2 linked regions of the Rattus norvegicus genome follow. The protein of the gene in region 2 interacts with the protein of the main gene of each other region in a pairwise test. Links are inferred from orthologs where the notes say so. Each region holds a gene or a part of one and is shown on either strand. Other genes may lie near its edges. The genes, in order: Aggf1 and Mab21l3.

The links.
Region 1: the proteins of Mab21l3 (region 2) and Aggf1 interact in binary tests that used the Homo sapiens proteins (3 or more experiments, as listed by UniProt). The two-hybrid records come from large-scale screens. The link is inferred for Rattus norvegicus from reciprocal best matches to the Homo sapiens genes MAB21L3 and AGGF1.

What each region holds. Positions count from the first base shown.
Region 1 is NC_086020.1:28,360,109-28,363,927, forward strand, and holds part of Aggf1 (angiogenic factor with G patch and FHA domains 1), read right to left. Parts: intron 3,031-3,819; coding exon 2,929-3,030; intron 1,553-2,928; coding exon 1,387-1,552; intron 654-1,386; coding exon 571-653; intron 1-570. UniProt on the Homo sapiens protein: Promotes angiogenesis and the proliferation of endothelial cells. Able to bind to endothelial cells and promote cell proliferation, suggesting that it may act in an autocrine fashion.
Region 2 is NC_086020.1:191,942,943-191,946,761, forward strand, and holds part of Mab21l3 (protein mab-21-like 3), read right to left. Parts: intron 1,005-3,819; coding exon 826-1,004; intron 239-825; coding exon 44-238; intron 1-43.

The sequences.
Region 1 (3,819 bases), about 160 Mb from region 2:
CTCTGAAGTGTCTCTGGGTAAGCAAAATCTTACACTTTGACAGAGCATAGCTTGTCAACTTATTCTCATGCATTGTGACTTTGGTGTTAAATACCTCAGAAAATTTGCCTAAACTTGTGTGTGCATAAGCACAGAGTCAGAGGAATGGGATGGTTTTCTCTAACTGCCCGCCACCTTAGTTTCTGAGGTGGGTTAACTGATTCAAATGGACTGGCCGGCTAGCAAGACCCTTCTAGCCTCTGGAGTGGGGTTACAACAGGCACGGCACACTGGCTTTCAGTCAGGTGTGGGATCTGAACTCAGACCCACACGCATACTAGATTTTCTTTTCTTTTTTTTTTCTTTTCTTTTTTTCAGAGCTGGGGACTGAACCCAGGCCTTGTGCTTGCTAGGCAAGCGCTCTACCACTGAGCTAAATCCCCAACCCCGCATACTATATTTTCAACCCCAACTTCAGAAGTTAAGTTATAAACACCAGAACTATAGAAATACATAAGTAATCGTGGTAAATAAAAATATACGCAGCGTGCTCAGTACACTGAGTAGATGAGAGAATATTGAGCACCTTACCTGCAAACCATACTTTACTCGTATTTTCTTTAGTGCCTTTCTTCTTTCCAACTCTTTTTCTTCCTTACTTAATGCTGGACCAACTAAAAGGAAAAACTGAGTTTGAATATGACAGACTTACAGGAAATTAGTACTTACTAAAAAAATAGTTTATCTTAGTATATTAACCAATTCAAACCATTTTACTGCAACTGTCATCATCTCACTTTTCATTATAGTAGAAAAGATTCCATAGTGTGTCTACATGCTATATCATCACTATCCACTCATCAGCAAGTAGAAAGCATTATGCTGAGGTATCTAAGCCAGACCCAGGGAGGCAAAATGTCATATTCTTACACTTCACATATGCTATGTGGAAAAAGTAGATTGGTGCATTTAACATGCAGTGTCTGCAGGACCTGGAAGGCGGGACAAGCCCATGAGAGGGAGGAGGGGAAGCAGAGCTTATGTAATAATATGGGGCTAAACACGTATGTGGAAGTGAGGGAGGAAGGGGTGGGGAGTCGGGTAAAGGAGAACTAAGGATTGTGAAAACCCCTTCTGGAAACACACGTTTTGAGAGTCAATTTAAAAACAGTTTCTACAAAGCACTTTGGCTAGAGGTGGCCTGCACGTGTGGACAGTTCCGAATGTGTCAGTTACCACCCTTCAGTACCACACACTGGGGCACATACAATGCACCTTGTCTACAACGAGCAGGCCAACTAGGCACATGCGGTGAGACGTGAGGGGGCGAAGGGGGCTCACTGGTACAGAGGGGCCACTACTCATCCCAGACACTTAGCGATCAGTCTCCACACTTGCCTCACATACCCAAAGGCTCATCTTTTTTATCAAGGCGAAGGTGAGCTCTGACCTGCCCCGGTTCACAGCCATCGCAAGTCTCACTGCCAGGGTGAATGTGAAAAGACAGCACAGTCTCCCCGATTTTTACTTCATCACCGTGTTCAAGGATGTAAGGATCGCATTTAGTTTTTGGCTGGATGAGAAATTTTTAATGAAAGAGAAATACAAAATAGTCACATGGTTACATTATGTCTATGGTAGAGAAACGTTCAGAAAAGGAGACCCATGCACACTTCCACAACTTGATGGACACACAGACCCTGCAAAAGACTCCCAGGACCATGACTTAGCACAGGAAGAGCATGCACTTACCACGAACCAAACTCTGGGCCCCACCCACTATCCCTTACAGTATTCCCGAAAAGCTACTTCTAATTCTATCTTATCAAAGTCTACCAGTCCACTCCAGACTTCAATCTATTAGCAAAACACACAATCAGAGGAATGTTCTATGTTAAGAACTGATTCCTCTTGTAAAAGAAATTTGCTCTGTGTGTGTGTGTGTGTGTTTGTGTGTGTGTGTGTGTGTGTGTGTGTGTGTGTGTGTGTGTGTGAACATAAGTTGTTACATGGGCCCTGGGATCAGAACTTTGATTCTAATGATACCATGGTAAATACTCTTAACCACTAAGTCACCTCTTAGCTTTTCTTACAATTTCTTTCTTTCATTCTTAAAGCATAAGAACAAGGCATCCTGGGTGGTTTTTATTATCAACACGACAGAATCTAGACCCACTTATGGTCCTGAGCACACCATGGGAGTACATGTAGTTAATGATGACCTCTGGGCATGCCAGTGAGGCATCATCTAGAGTAGGTTAACTCAAGTGACAAGATCTACCATACTGTGGGTAGCCTCATGCCATGGGCTGGGGTCCTAGCTGGAACAAACAGGAGAAACTGAGCTTACTGCTAGCATTTTCTCCCTTTGCTTCCTGAAGTCTGACATAATATGACCACCTGCTTCACCATCATGGACGACTCTTTTCCTTTCCTAAGTTGATTTGTCAGGGTACTTTGGTTTTCAGAAAAGTCCTAGTTTAGCATTATTTTTACTAAGACAAAAAAACAAAAAACAAACAAACAAAAAAACAAAAAAAAGGTTAGAGCTGGCTGTCCAGCAGTGTCAGAGGGAGAGTCGCAGCAGCACACAGGGAAAAGGAGGGCCACCAAAGCTACTTCTGTGAATATTCAGTCCTGGGTCAGTGAAATGGCTCAGCACAGAGAAGTGACTACACGAAGCTGTCTTCCACATGTAGAGGTCACACACACAAATATTTAAACTAGATAAGCTTTATGATAGTCATCCCTGAAGTAGCAATAGAGGTATAATTAGAAGTCAAAACTCCAGACCAATATCTACTAAAAATCTTTTTCCAGCCCTTTCTGGAAAATTCCAACCAAGTTATAAATTTGTGCTTGAACCTGATCTGGACCAGATGCTATCTGTAATGACTAGGACCTAAGCTCAGACAAGGAAGTGCAAGCGACTACTACATATCAACTTACCTGAAGAATCTGTTTCCCGTTGACAATGGTACCATTCTGGCTGCCCTGATCCACAAGAACGTAGCTCTGCAAGTCATGGTCAAAGTAAACTTCTGCATGGAACTTAAAGGAAAGCAACCAAGCAATTACAAAACGTTTTCAGCCCAGAGCTAACTTCACTATTATGCAATGGTGTATACACTGGTCTCTGACAACTCCACCGATCTCTCTTCATGCTCTGTACTGAATACAAAGTATCACAACTTTCTGGTGGAAATAAGGAGGCTACGCTTCAAATTCTTCCACCTCTAACTGTGATGAAAGTGTGTATATCCTGCCTCTTCCACTTTTAAAACATATGTAAGATTGGACTGTACGTAGGACTTGATTTCTCCCCCAACATTAAGTACTATCACTGTCTATTTAAAATCATCTCAATTCTCAATGCACACTGACTTGAAACACTCGAATGCTCAGGGAAGCAAGTCCTCCAGAGTTGCAGACACAGGACTGAGCCTCCCTTACTGCAGAGCACGTTATTCATAAACGGCAGCTCTGCTAACAGGCTCAGCAAACGCCACAGTTTGTCCAAGTACTGGGTACGCCGCACTTCACTCATCCATTACAGAATGACCCCACATTCAAGCCTTTAAAACCGGACATCTAGGCGTCCTAGGTGTTACTATCTTTAAGAATTTGCCACGGTCAGGCTGGAGAGATGGTTCAGTGGTTAAGAGCGCTGGCTGTTTTTCCAGAGGACCAGAGTTTGATCCCCAGCACCCGTGGCAGTCCTTCCATACAAAGGCTTATAACCGTCTGTAACTCCAGTTCCAGGTAATCCATCATCTTCTTCTGCCCTGTGTGCATGAGGCACCCAACTGGTGCATAGACATACATGCAAGCAAAACCCCC
Region 2 (3,819 bases):
GCCCCAACAGCCCTCCCCCACTCCCTGCCACACCCGTGCTCACCTGCAGGTGGTGGGTGGTGATGACCGGCCTCCTCCCTGGACACCACACATCCTCCTTCAGCTGCCTCAGGACCTGAAAACACCGCCTGCGGCAGCCTCCATCTTCATCCAGCTGCTCACACAGCACCCGCTCTGCCTGGGAGAAGCTCAGCTGCCAGTGATAGGTGGACTGGGCCACCAAGTTAAACCCAAATGACTGAAAACAAAGAAGGATAGGAAGTGAGACACAGGAAGCTGGCTCACGTGGAGAACAGCTCAGACAGCTGGAGGGACCCATTGCCCACATCTTGTGGTATGTCTATACGATGGAATATTATTCAGCCAATAAAAAGAATCAAATTCAGTCATTCACAGGGGCAAGGATGGGATTGGAGTATAATATGCATAATGTAATAAGCTAGAAAAAGACAAACACACACTGACTATTCTCACTCAAATGTGGATGCCAAAACACTGAGGCCTAAAGGCATCATGGGAGAATGCAAAGCATCTTGGTACACTCAGGGAGCAGGGGTGGCTCAGACCCCTTGATGGCAGTTGTTTCTACCAATGTCAGAGCCCTAGAGGACTTACCAGCTTTCGCCTATGGGTTTCTGATAAGAAACCTGCATTTCTGACAAGCTCAGTCAGTGCTGCCATGGTGGGAGGGGGACATGTGAATTAGAACAGCAACTCTAAGGAACCCCCTGCTTCCCTAGGACACTACATGCTCAGTAATGTGCTCAATGTTATTGGCAAAGCTCATGGCACTCTACCAAATGAACCCCATCTGCTCACCCATACCTTGATGCACTCCACTCTCTCTGGGGAAGGCCACCGCTTCAGACACCGAGGCCACTGGGCTTTCTCAGGCCAGGTGGTGGGGATCTCCACAGTGGGGGCCAGCTCCAGTTCTACCTGGCCTGTGGACGTTTCCACAGCAACCCAAACAGTAGTGCGTTTTTCTAGCACAGTGACTTTGCCTGATGGGAGAGAACCAGAGGGACACTTGAGAAGAGAAAGCCTTGCTCTGCACAAGCAGCAGGGCCGGAAGCAGTGAGCAAATGCTCTGGGAGCTGTCAGTGCGACTGTCAGTGTCAGTTCTGTAGACACCAGACAGTCTGCCCCATCACAGTGTCACAAGGAAGGCTCATGCGGGTGGGTCTTTGCCTTTTCTCCCCACAACTCCAAAGCTTTGAAGCACATATTATTTTGGGGTGTGTGCGTGTGCACACGCACGTGTTTTGTGTTATGCTGGAGATCATGTATGCATGCATATGTGAGTGTCGGGGGAGACTGAACCTAGGGCCTCAACGCTGATCACAATACCTCTGGGTTATAACCCAGCAGGTTTCCATTCAAATTGATAGATAGGTTCTTTTCAGAAAGTTCAATGAAGGAAGGTCAGAGAATAAGATGGAAAAGAAGCGTACTGGTTATTGTGAGATGGAATCTAACATTTCTGTCTCAGTGCTGGTTTAGCAGGGATCCCTGTGCAGGTGAGGGTAAGGACTTCGATCTCATGTCAGGAAGGTTGGCACTGACCCCACCCTTCCCTGGGTGCCTTCCAGGGGAGTCCTACTAACCTGCTTTTCATTTGAATCAGTCTCTTGGTCACAGCTGGAAGGGTCAGGTGAGTGGGAGGGGTCACAGCTGGAAGGAGCCAGGTGAGTGGGAGGGGTCACAGCTGGAAGGGGCCAGGTGAGTGGGAGGGGTCACAGCTGGAAGGGGCCAGGTGAGTGGGAGGGGTCACAGCTGGAAGGGGCCAGGTGGGTGGGAGGGGTCACAGCTGGAAGGGGCCAGGTGAGTGGGAGGGGTCACAGCTGGAAGGGGCCAGGTGAGTGGGAGGGGTCACAGCTGGAAGGGGCCAGGTGGGTGGGAGGGGTCACAGCTGGAAGGGGCCAGGTGGGTGGGAGGGGTCACAGCTGGAAGGGGCCAGGTGAGTGGGAGGGGTCACAGCTGGAAGGGGCCAGGTGGGTAGGAGGGGTCACAGCTGGAAGGGGCCAGGTGGGTGGGAGGGGGTCACAGCTGGAAGGGGCCAGGTGGGTGGGAGGGGTCACAGCTGGAAGGGGCCAGGTGAATGGAAGGGAGTTTCCGTTATTTCATTTTCCAAGCAGGCACAGAAGAAGAAATGTGTGGTGAGTTTTCCAGCTCATGAGCCAGCCTGACCTCATTGCCAGGGGTTCTCTTTTCAAAACAATGGATTTTTATTTTATTTTAATCTATGTGTATTTGTGCGCCTGCACAAGTTTCTGTGCACTACATACATGTAGCAGCCTGCAGAGGCCTGAAGAAAGTATCAGATCCCTTGGAACTAGAGATAACAGACTGGATCCTGGGGACTGATCCCAGGTCCTCTACAAGAGCAGCAAGTGCTTCTAACCACTGAGCATCTCTCCAGCCCCAACACATGGGTGATTTGGACTTTTTCTTTTTTGGCTTTGTTACAGATAAGGGTGGGTATCTTGAACTAAGGTCTGTCATTTCAGTCTTTCCTTCTTAGGGGAAAGGAAGCTGTAAACTGTGTTTGACTGTTCTGGGGAAAGCAAGCTGTCCTGAGCTAGGTGTGATAAATGGCCCATGGTCTACATCTCACCAGAGAGGCCCCAACAAGGCATGGATAAGGAGTGTGGCTTCAGCTTTAGTCACTGAAAGTGCCACACTGGCCTGGCCCTGCTTGCCACTCCCATCCCAACTTTCACTAGTGGAGCATCTCTGAAGGTTAGCATTGAACCTGGAGCTGGGCTGCCTGGACTACTCTCTGCTTCTGCAGATGTGTGTGGCTCTAGTGCATGACCCTCAGGCAGCTTCAGAAAAGAACTCTTTCTCTTCTCTCCCTTCCTTCTTTCCTTCCTCCCTCCCTTCCTTCTTTCCTTCCTCCTTCTCCTCCTCTTTTTTTTTTTGTTTTTTGTTTTTTTTTTTTAATTTTAACAAGGTCTCCAGTATCCCAGGCTGGCCTTGAATTTTCTATGCAGCAAACAGATGGCTTTGAATTTCTGACCCTCCCTCTCTCCACCTCCCAGAGTGCAGTGATCAGAGGTGCACCAACGTGACAGATGTACGCAGTGCCGGTGATCGAATCCCAGGTGTTGTCCATGCCAGGCAAATATTCCACCAGCTAAGCTGCATGTTATCCCAGTCTCAGGTTGCCACAGAATTAAATATCCACACAAGCGCCTTCTATAGCACCCATGAGATATGACCAGGATGGGGGACTTTCAGAGCTATTCTGTTCAGACAAACATTTACAAATGTATCATCTGACACCGAGTTCTGTAGCTTGTGTAATTTTTCATAAGATGTGCGTGCTCGCGTGTGTCTTGCTTGGCAGGGGCTGCATGCAGTCTGCCAGGCACAGGTGCCATCATGGACTGGACCAGTTTTCTTGGATAGTTAGATTTCTTTTTTCCTAGTTGGTTACCGTTTTCAAACCTAGAGCAGAGGATCTCCTTGGTCACAGTTCTTTGTGTGTTTGCAAAAGCTTATTTGTTGAATGGCCAGGTAAGCACTTCATAAAGATAAATAATGGACAAGTTGTCCTTTAAAAGTGAAATGCTCCCAAGAACAGGAGAAAGCCCATCTCACCCGACCCACCCAACCCCACAGGGCCACCCTGCTCAGACTTCTGATAGCTGTTAATCTGCTCGGAATTTTAATGCTCCTATTGTTGTTGGGATTCTTTGTCATTGTTGTTTTCCTTCAGATTTATTTGTAATTATATGATGTGTGTATTACGTACACACGCATGCAGGTACCCATGGAGGCCAGCAGAGGGCATCAGATCCTCTGGAGCTGGAG